Linked DNA regions of Arabidopsis thaliana. The protein of the gene in region 1 purifies or fractionates together with the protein of each later gene. This does not show direct contact. Each region holds a gene or a part of one and is shown in the gene's direction. Other genes may lie near its edges.

What was found. Proteins that work in one complex are often made in the same cells at the same time.
Region 2: the proteins of ERF1-3 (region 1) and AT2G04520 fractionate together in Arabidopsis thaliana (co-fractionation; one large-scale study listed by BioGRID). This does not show direct contact.

What each region holds. Positions count from the first base shown.
Region 1 is NC_003074.8:9,785,683-9,791,363, forward strand, and holds ERF1-3 (eukaryotic release factor 1-3), read left to right. Parts: upstream 1-2,548; 5' UTR 2,549-2,961; intron 2,962-3,127; 5' UTR 3,128-3,171; coding exon 3,172-4,479; 3' UTR 4,480-4,769; downstream 4,770-5,681. Other genes in the region: AT3G26616 (uncharacterized protein), read right to left, coding at 1,892-2,280, 2,423-2,459; LBD23 (LOB domain-containing protein 23), read left to right, coding at 4,946-5,098, 5,218-5,430. UniProt on the Arabidopsis thaliana protein: Directs the termination of nascent peptide synthesis (translation) in response to the termination codons UAA, UAG and UGA. Modulates plant growth and development.
Region 2 is NC_003071.7:1,573,194-1,578,724, reverse strand, and holds AT2G04520 (Nucleic acid-binding, OB-fold-like protein), read left to right. Parts: upstream 1-2,764; 5' UTR 2,765-3,025; intron 3,026-3,480; 5' UTR 3,481-3,485; coding exon 3,486-3,923; 3' UTR 3,924-4,163; downstream 4,164-5,531. Other genes in the region: CPZ (Metallo-hydrolase/oxidoreductase superfamily protein), read right to left, coding at 114-203, 295-369, 445-513, 606-719, 795-890, 956-1,026, 1,101-1,263, 1,531-1,917; AT2G04515 (uncharacterized protein), read right to left, coding at 4,414-5,004.

The sequences.
Region 1 (5,681 bases):
GTTGAAATGCACTGATTGATCCAGCAAACAAACTTTTCAGGGACTGCGAGAGCACGGAAGGCTGAGATGATGAAATCCCATCTGACGCTATCAAACGCTTTCCGAAGATCCACTTTAAGCATACCCCGAGAGCTGATATTTTTAGTGTTGTAACCATGCACAATTTCAGTAGCTAACAAGACGTTTTCCGAAAGTAAACGACCAGGAAGGAACGCAGACTGAGACGGAGAAATCACCTCATTTAAAAGCTTCTTTAGCCTAGAAGTCAGCAGCTTAGCTATCACTTTATACAAAGTGTTTAAGCAAGAGATTGGCCTAAAGTCAGTCATCTTTGAAGAGTTTGTGATTTTTGGAATAAGGACCAAAGTTGTTGCGTTCCACTGCTTCAATAACTGACCTGAACGAAAAAATTCTTGGACTGCTTCAGTCACCTCTGGACCCACAACAAACCAAACACCTTTAAAGAACTCAGAGGAATAGCCGTCAGGGCCGCTAGCTTTGTTCCTGGGCAAAGAGAAGAAAGCCTCTTGAATATCAAGATCCGAGAAACTCCTTTCCAAGTCATTAATCTGATCCACAGAACATCTGAAAGAAAGAAGCAGATTCATATCACTCTGTGCCAAAGAGTTCTCGCCCTCTACACCACATAGGAGGGATTCAAAAAAATTACAGCTATGCTCCTTTATGCCCTCCTTTATGCCCTGCTGGGTCTCAATCCTTTCACCAAAATCATCAATCAAGAAATTTATTGTATTAATCGATTTACGCATGTCAGCCATCTTATGAAAGTAAGCAGTATTATTATCACCCTCATATAACCAAGAGATACTTGACTTCTGGCAGAAAAAACTCTCCTCAGCCTTAGCAAGAATTTGCCATTTTCTGGTGGCCTCCAACTCAAGTGTAGCATGAACAACAGAAGGGTTGGTAAGAGTAATCCTTTGACGGTGGAGCACAATAGCATGGGCCTCAGAGACCCTTTTCTCAATATCAGAGTAGTTCTCTCTACTAAAACAACAAATAGGGAGCTTAAGGTGCTTAAGCTTTTTGGAGACCCTGTACATCGCAGAACCAGAGACATTGCAAGAGTACCAATTCTCACGAATCAGCTGCAAGAAATCCGGGTTATGTAAGAAATAGTTGAAGAACCGAAAAGGTCGCTTTGCTTTCAAGACCGCTGGATCTAACACCACCTCACAAGAGCTGTGGTCAGAGAAATCTGGCTCACCGAAGTTCGCGTAAGCGGATGGGAAGAGAGTGTTCCAATGATCATTGACCAAAATTCTATCTATCTTTTTTGCCAAAGGTCTAGAGCTGCACTTATTCCACCAAGTGTAAGAACTACCTTTGTAGACGAGGTCATACAAATCAGAATCAAGCAAGCAACTTCTGAACGCACGAATCTTCCTGCCAATATTTGCATTGATAGCACTTTCCGGATTTAAGATTTGATTAAAGTCGCCAAGAACAATCCACGACCTGCCAACAACAACCGGAGATAAGGCAAGCTGAACCAACTCATTCCAAAGCTCTTTTCTGGTACCCTCCTCATTTGAAGCGTAAACAATAGACACCACAAACCAAGAAGGAGAATCAGGAAGAAGAAGCTCACATGTGATCATTTGCAGGGACCTACCAATAACAACTACCTTCACACTTGGATCCCACAAAACCCATATTTTTCCCAAAACAGAGAATTCATAATTCTCAACAAAAGACCAGCCAGGCAAAAGGTTAGAGATGAACTTCTTCTCCTTAGGCTGCTTTACATGTGTCTCAATGAGACCTCCAAAAAGTGGTTTATTCAAAAGAAACCATTTCTTAAAACCGCGGCGGTGACTGGAAATATTAAATCCGCGAACATTCCAACAAAAGAGCTTAGTACACATACTTAAGCTTTGGTTTTGAGGCCCTTGCCTCGTAGATTCCTCTTCTGACGCTTAGACAAAACCTTGATGAAAGCCTCTTCTTCAGTGTCAGTAGATAACACGTCAGAGGAATCATCCTCAACTGCACAAACTGTGCCTGAACAAATGCCAACCTCCTCATTTTCAGTTGCATTATCAATGATTACAGCAAACTGTCCAACACTTGAATCTCCTTTCTGGACCTTATCCAAACCGAGAGAGATCCCATTGGTCTGAACTGAAATAGACCCAAAAACACTATCTTCAACCTTAAGAGACTTGGACTTAGCCACATTCTTCACAGACCAAACTAAGCCACCATCTTCCTTTCCTTTGACAGGGAGCCGAGTTTGAGTCTCTTGACCCAGAGAAGCTTCACAGACCAAACTAAGTCCAAATAATAAAATCAGTAATTTATCAAATTGAACTTTTTTTCTCCATCTTATACTTATTATTTATTGTAAATTATGAGAATTATTAAACAGACGTATGGGCTTAGGTTCCTTCGGACAGACGATATTTCTTTCTCGACACTTCCTTCTTCTTCTCCATGTTTTTGATGAACACCTTTAATGATCTTTTTTGCGTAGAATCCTGGCGAACGGCTATAATTGTATAATCGTTGGAGATCTCCTAATAAATCACAGTATCTGAGATTCGAATTCCAAATCCCTAGGTGTATTAATGAACATTTGGTCAACCAAACCAATGTACCACCAAAGGGGCTTACACGAACTTTACTTTTCTTTAGGAAGAAAAATAAAAGTCAGTTCAAAAAAATACATTGTCCGTTTATAATGGGCTTTTAACGTTAAAGCCAAGCCCATAATGATACATGACAGCCCATTCATTTTAGTACTCTAATTTGGGGTGAATAATCCGTCCCGCGTTAAAAAACACAGAATCAAAATTACTTCATATCTTCTTCACGTGAGAGTCACGTGTTCGGTAAAAGTGGTTGAAAGTTGAAACCCATTGGGGAACAAAAACCTAAAGGAGTCTCATTTCTGCTGGGTCGAGAAATCGCTGATAGAGAGTAGAGAGACACACGCAGGTACGTGAATCTTCGCGACTTCGATCTCTTTGTGTATCAAATCAATCCGTTCTTGTTAAAGTTTTCATTTTTAATCTTCCAATTTCAATCTGGGTCTACTTAAATCAATCGAAATCTCAATTTCAAGCTGATTCTTATAAAGTTTCGATTTTTCTTGCTGTTTTAGATTTTGAGCTGCGTGCTCTGTTTTAAGCTTGAAGGAGGAAAAACATGGCAGACCAAGAATCAGATAAGAACATTGAGATTTGGAAGATTAAGAAGCTAATCAAAGGACTTGAAACCGCAAGAGGTAATGGAACAAGTATGATCTCTCTTATAATGCCTCCTAGAGATCAAGTAGCTCGTGTCACTAAGATGCTTGCTGATGAATACGGAACCGCCTCAAACATCAAGAGTCGAGTGAATCGTCAATCTGTTTTATCTGCCATTACTTCTGCTCAACAAAGATTGAAGCTTTACAACAAAGTTCCTCCGAATGGTCTTGTTCTCTATACTGGAACCATTGTTACTGATGATGGTAAAGAGAAGAAAGTGACGATTGATTTCGAGCCTTTTAAACCGATTAATGCTTCGTTGTATTTGTGTGACAATAAGTTCCACACCGAGCCTTTGAATGAGCTTTTGGAGTCTGATGATAAGTTTGGTTTCATTGTTATGGATGGAAATGGAACTTTGTTTGGTACTTTGAGTGGGAATACAAGAGAGGTTCTTCATAAGTTCACTGTCGATCTTCCGAAAAAGCACGGAAGAGGAGGACAATCTGCGTTGCGATTTGCTCGTCTTAGGATGGAGAAGAGACATAACTATGTGAGGAAAACCGCGGAGCTTGCCACTCAGTTTTACATTAATCCAGCTACGAGTCAGCCTAATGTCTCTGGTCTTATACTTGCTGGTTCAGCGGATTTTAAGACCGAGCTAAGTCAATCAGAACTGTTTGATCCTCGTCTTCAAGCTAAGATATTGAATGTGGTTGATGTTTCTTACGGAGGAGAGAATGGTTTCAACCAAGCAATTGAGCTGTCTGCTGAGATTCTATCTAATGTGAAGTTCATACAAGAAAAGAAATTGATTGGGAAGTACTTTGAGGAGATTAGTCAAGACACTGGGAAATATGTTTTCGGTGTTGAAGATACTTTAAAGGCTCTGGAAATGGGTGCTGTTGAGACTCTTATAGTGTGGGAGAATCTAGATATTAATAGGTATGAGTTAAAGAACAACACGACCGGAGAAATCGTGATTAAGCATTTGGGAAAGGATCAAGAGAACAACCAAAGCAATTTCCATGATGCAGAGACTAATGCAGAGTTAGAAGTTCAGGAGAAGATGCCTCTGCTTGAATGGTTTGCTAACGAATATAAACGTTTTGGTTGTACACTTGAGTTTGTGACTAACAAGTCCCAAGAAGGATCACAATTTTGCAGAGGCTTTGGCGGTATTGGTGGATTGTTGCGGTACCAGCTTGATATGAGGACATTCGATGAATTATCCGATGGTGAAGTTTATGAAGACTCAGATTAAGTAAGAGAAAATGTGGTTTAAGATCTGAAGAAGGATTTGAAGTTTGGGGAAAAAAAGAAAGACTATGAACTTTTGTTTGATATACTTTGTCTCTCTCTATTATCTTCTGTTGCCGCTTTTAAGTTTTTCTGAAACAGTTATGTTAAAATGTATGAGAAATTTGAGCTTCATTATACTCTATTTTGAAGACATTTCTTATTGCCTATTTGAGAATTAGCTAAACATTAATATTGCCTTAACAGTAATGTTAACGGTAATATAAAGTCTAATTAGTCTAAGTGAGAATCAACATAAATAGTCTTACCTTAAGTAAATGTTCTCAAATTTCAGAAACTGGAAACTAGCCGTTTGATTATTGGAAAAGAAAGGAAACGAAAAGGAATACAAATAGCTAAATCTTTGTGTAAGATTTCACAATCTCTTCTTTTGTGTTATTTGTTTATATTTGTGTCTGAGAAAATCTGAGATGAATCCAAAAAGATGTGCAGCTTGCAAGTATCTGAGAAGAAGATGTCCAAAAGATTGCGTATTCTCACCATATTTCCCTCCAAACGATCCTCAAAAATTTGCATGTGTCCACAGAATCTATGGTGCTGGAAACGTTTCCAAAATGCTTCAGGTATATATATCTATACACATCTTTGTGTATCTTCTTCTAATATCCTATTTAAGATCACACTTTATGCATATATATAAGTAAGTGTATTCATGGTTGGATTTTGGTGATCTTTTTGACAGCAACTTCCTGATCAGACAAGAGCTGAAGCAGTGGAATCTTTGTGCTTTGAAGCAAAATGCAGAGTAGATGATCCTGTTTATGGTTGTGTTGGCATTATTCATTTACTTAAAACTCAGATTCAGAAAACTCAGAATGAATTAGCCAAAACTCAAGCTGAGATTGCTGTTGCTCAAACCAAACTTAGCCAAACCCATATTTCTGATTTTATGTAATATCTCTCAGTTTCAACAATAAATTCTCCTCTGCATTTTCGTTTCCGATTGCTTCTACTTATAAGATAGTGATCTTCTTTAACTTTAACTATATCAGACTCATAATCAAGAGGCCATTAGCTATACTAAAAAAGTGTTTCATAAAACACAAATGTAAACAAGTTCGAATCGAGTTTATTATTATCACAAATCCATAACTAAAGGGTGACAATTATACAGTCTTGAGTCTCTTGGCCGATATTTTGAGAATC
Region 2 (5,531 bases), on another chromosome or scaffold:
TTATAATCTTGATAACTTTTTTTCATTTAACTTACATTAGCGAGTTCCCTATGAAATTACAGACAAAGATGTTTCAAATGCCTACTTTTGCTTGCAATATCCTTTAAGCTCTTTTAAGAATATCTTGACCTGAAACCTTCTGTAAGAGGAATGACTTTTGCGGATACTTTCGATTGCAACTTAAGCACAGCTTCACGGATTTCCTGCCATTGCAACCACAAGTATTAAGATGAAATACAACATAAGGGGCTAAAACTTTTACTAAGAACATGAAAGCCAAATTCAGACTCTCACCTCTACATGGTAACGTGATGAGAAATGCGTCAATAATACAGTTTTGCTCCGGATCCACTTTGCATTCTCAATAATCTGCAATTTGTTCATGGAAAATTCCTCTTACAGTGTGCTTTTTACAGGTGTGTTTGAACATAAATAGGATCGTACCTGAGATATATGAGTATGACCGAGTGCTTGCGCATGCTCAGTGCTAAAACTTTCATCCAAGAAAGTTGCCTGCCAGATCGGTTAAGCTCAGAAACTATAACATAATCCAGTGAAGTTTTAAAATGATATAACAGTACCGCCAATAGGATTCAAGTAAGTACCTCAGTTATAAGAACTTTTGCCCTCAACGCATCAGCATTACGAGGGTCAAGCATATACTCTGAAGTTGTATCTCCAGTGAAGGCTATCTCGGGGGATAATATCGTGTCCGTAATCTGTAATTAAGTTCAATATTATTGTACTTTATCAAACCTCAATATCAGAAATATGGCTTATTATAAGCAACAAACCTCGACGCCAGACTTTTTAATCTTTTCTATCTGTTTTCCTTTGAGGTGAGCATACTGCTTCTGCAACTTCTTCCTGACCGAATAGATGACATAACCCTAAAAGAACTCAAGATCAGTAAAAAAAAAAGACGCTCTCATGCCACATTCACGATGTGTAGTACCTGACTTGGTATAACATGGTGAGTTGCAAATGGTCTAACAACAATGTCATTGCGCAACTCATATGTTTCACCTGCCACCACCAACAAAGAACTCAGATTCGCTATCTAAACAAGGTTGGCTTTTAACAAGTCACTATGTCATTACCTACAGCAAGTGGTATCAATTCTACATTCAACTCTACTTGACCCATAGTCCTGTGAATCTCAAGAAGTTTCTCAACATCTTCTTTAATAGATGGTGGCACAAATATTTTCGGTGGCTCAAGATTGTATAAACCACGGCTCGCTACATACATTGGAAGCCCTCCCTGAAGAAAACACTAAACTTAGCCACAAGATTCATACAAAAGATCCCATAACTCAATCAATAAGCAGAAACATCAAACCAAATCTAAAAGTATGTTCAACAAAACTAATCCTTATCCTTCCAAATCATAGTACAATGGCTCTATTTTGAACTAAAATGTATCATCAATTCAACACTAAGATTCATCCACAATTCAATCAAAAGGCCGAAACTTTAAACGAAATCTAAAGAGGGTTTTGAAGAAAGACTCAAATTTTGAACAACTCACGATATGGTCAAGATGGGCATGAGTGATAAAAAGAAACTTCTGCTGAATAGCACGAGAAGGGCACCTCCCAATATCAAAGACACATTTGAGCTCAGGGACGATAACACAAGTCTCGTGCCCACCTACAGAGATCCCTTCAATTGCATAACTCTCCAATTCGACACCTTTACGGTTCACTGCAGCGCGTGCTTTCCGATACTCTTCTTCTTCCTCAATAGCTCGGCTAATCGATGAGAAATAGCCAGAGACTTTGACGGGACTCACGAAATGTCTACGGTTGCTCTGTATCTGTGCGGCGAGCTGGTGAGTAATCACTGGAGGTTTATGGTGTTTGGTGGAAGGGAAGATTTTGGGAGGTGAAATTGGAAACGAAGAAGAAAGCTGCATTCTTTTGTGAGGTTTTACGGAGGTTTTTGGGGTTTCCTCTGTCACTCAGACATGAAACGATAGAAAATGCAAAGAACGGCCTTTTTCTTGGGATTGAGTGAGACCAAATTAAACTGATCTACTACATATGTATAGCTCCGGTTTAATGCTGGTTAGGATTGTTTTTCGGTTAATTTGGTTTAGTATAGATTGTAATTTGTATATATGTATCCAACATTTGTAACAAAATTTATAGAGGTATTCAACTATTCATCATACAATAAAATTTTATTAATTTATAAAAGTACTATTAATTTATAGAGAGTTTAAACTAATTTTGTAATTTTTAAAAGATTTTTTCTAAAAAAGATTTTTTTTATTTGTAATTATTATCTTTTTAGAACCAATTACAAAATAATTAAAATTTATTATGTATAGACAACAACAAAAAGAGTTTTGAATGTAGTAAAAATATTAAAAATGAAAAAGGAATATAGCAAAGGTTATGTTTCACTAAAATTTCTTATATATATATATTTTAAGGAATTTATAAAATTATTAATTTATGATATTGATGAGAGCATATTATATTAATTTTATACAATGATTTTTTTAATAAAAATTATTTTATTAATTTATCGATTTGTATTAATTTTTACTATAGTTACAACTCAAAATCGGAAGAATTTGTTAATTTATAAAAACTATTAGTTTATCGAATATTAATTTATAGAAATTTTACTGTAATATTATAATTTTTAGAGGTTTAACTGTTTTTTTTCTTTTTTTTAAGAAAGGTTTTACGGTCTTAGATCCAAAATTGATATAATACTCAAACCGAACTAACGATTTTTCAATCCAACCAAATAGAAAATCGAAAAACTAAACCAAACCAAATGTCAGATACTCAGATTGAATGAGTGGTAAGGTTCCGTAATAAAACCTAAAACTAAGGGCAACAATCAAAACACGTTTACTTTTATTATAAACAGATTTCTGGAGATATCGAGAACATTTTCGCAGCCGCAAGCTACAAAACTTTTGATCCCAAATTCAACAGATATCTCTGAATCTATCGCTTCCAAGGGTTTTCTCTAGCTTAATCTCAGATTCGAATCGTTCCATAGTGGTGAGCTTCGTGTTCTTCTTTCGTCTCTTACTCCTGATTCTCGATTTTAGGGTTTTCAGTAATTGCGTCGGCGGCGAAAGTCTTTATCGCCGATCGATCTTCCTTATCTAGAAATTATTGATCAGAAACTGTTGGGTTTTGTTTGATTCTTGTCAAGTTTTGATTTTTCATGCGAAATTGCTCAATCCCAATTCAAAGTTACGATTTTTATTGAAAACCCTAGATTGGTTTCTTCAAGTTTGTCACTTTGATTCAATCTAATAGCTTAGCTTAATCGTTAAGTCTCTTTTTTGGTTTTAGGTTTCATTTGCGATTTAAAGGTTCTTGTTTTGGTATTTGTTTTGCTTTGGTCCTTTAAGTTTGAGAGGCTTATGTAGATTATAAGAGAGAAGAGTATTGCTTTGCATGTTTAAAGGAAGAACTTTTAACTGAACATTTGTATGATTGGTATGTAGATACTATGCCGAAGAACAAGGGAAAGGGAGGAAAGAACAGGAAGAGAGGAAAGAACGAAGCAGATGACGAGAAGAGAGAGCTTATATTCAAAGAAGATGGACAAGAATACGCACAAGTCCTTCGTATGCTTGGAAATGGAAGATGTGAAGCTATGTGTATCGATGGAACCAAGCGTCTTTGCCATATCCGTGGTAAGATGCATAAGAAGGTTTGGATTGCAGCAGGTGATATTGTGCTTGTTGGTTTGAGGGATTACCAAGATGACAAAGCGGATGTGATCCTTAAGTACATGTCTGATGAGGCTAGGCTTCTTAAGGCTTATGGTGAGCTTCCAGAGAATACTCGTCTTAATGAAGGAATTGTTGGTGATCTTGAGGATGATGATGATAATAATGATGATGACTATGTTGAGTTTGAGGACGAAGATATCGATAGGATCTAAGGCTTTGTTTGTTTTTTTTTTTTCCGGCTTGTATTTCCAATTTGTGAGACGTATGACTTCTGGTGATAAAACATCACTGTTGTTGCAAGATACTTACTGTTTTATATTTTGTTCTTCAATATCTCTATTGTTGGTTTCCTTGGTGTTCTTGTTGCATAAGTTTGTCTTTCTTCGCAATCCATTCAAAATGTTGTGTGTCACTGTTGCTTCACACTCTTAAGTTTAGCTGGTACAGAGAAGATGAATCGAAATGATTATGCGAATGCTGAAGCTGAAAGTGAATTCAGTTCAGCTTAAGAGAGTAAAACATAGTAAGCTGATAATGCTTGATATAGAAAGCATTATGTTGCATGGATTCATATGGATGACATACATAAAAGTGGGCACCAAAAATACAGAATCTACTTGTCCAAAGAGAGAAAATTATATACTTCTCCTGCCGAATATGAATACTAAAGACAGTTTAACTTGTTAACAAAACTCAAAAAAGTTATATACTTCTCTTGCCGTATCGAATCTCTGCCTTCATCTTCCTGATGAAATCCTCACATTTCTTGTTCAAATCTTCTGAACTTAATAAACTATCATTTATCGCATCGTCATCATCATGATCATCTAGTCTAGTGATTGAGAGGTCTTGTACTAGTATTCCCTCATCTTCCTTAACAACCAATGCAACTTCTTCTTCTTCTTCTCTAGATAAAACAACTCTTCCTTCTTCTTCTTTAGAAACATTACTTTCTTCAAGTAATGCCACTACTTTATTGACTTTTGTTTCTTTTAAGTCTTTGATCCCTACTTCTTTGGTTTGTTCAACGATGTTAATGGCTTTACCGTGCGAAAGGGAGTCAGAATTCCCATGGAAACTCCCCAAGATAAAGCCCACAATCCCATTGCATAACAAGAACATGTACTTCTTGTCCACAAGATTGCTATACATGGCAAGCAAATGGAGTCTTTGTTGAAGAGAAGAGATTAAGGAAGAGTAAGATAGTATAAATGAGAAAATGGATGCAAATGCTATGATCTTAGTGACTATTTTCATCTCCTTCACGCTTCTTTCTTGTTTTTGAGATTCCATCTCATCTATCTCTATCTCTCTCTTTATATCTCTCTTGCTCTATGTGTCTTGCCTTTGAATTGAGAAAAAGAATGGTGAATGCGCAACAAGTTTGCGGAACCTATTTCTTTTTTATAGATTAGTGGGTGGGTTGTGTATAATTTCACCATTTTAATTATTATTTCTTTTGGTTAAATTACTCTTTTGAACCATTCACACCAAATTAATCTTTAGTTTTTTTTTGTTTGATTATTTTTAATATATCCCTAACTTAGCTTAAAAAATTACCAAATAGTTGTCGATAATATAAGAGATATTTTTTGAATACAGTAAAACCTCTATAAATTAATAATGTTGGGATTGTGAAATTTTATTAATTTAGAGAGGTATTAATTTATCAATAAATTAATAAAAATTACCAAATAGTTGTCGATAATATAAGAGATATTTTTTGAATACAGTAAAACCTCTATAAATTAATAATGTTGGGACTGTGAAATTTTATTAATTTAGAGAGGTATTAATTTATCAATAAATCAATAAATATT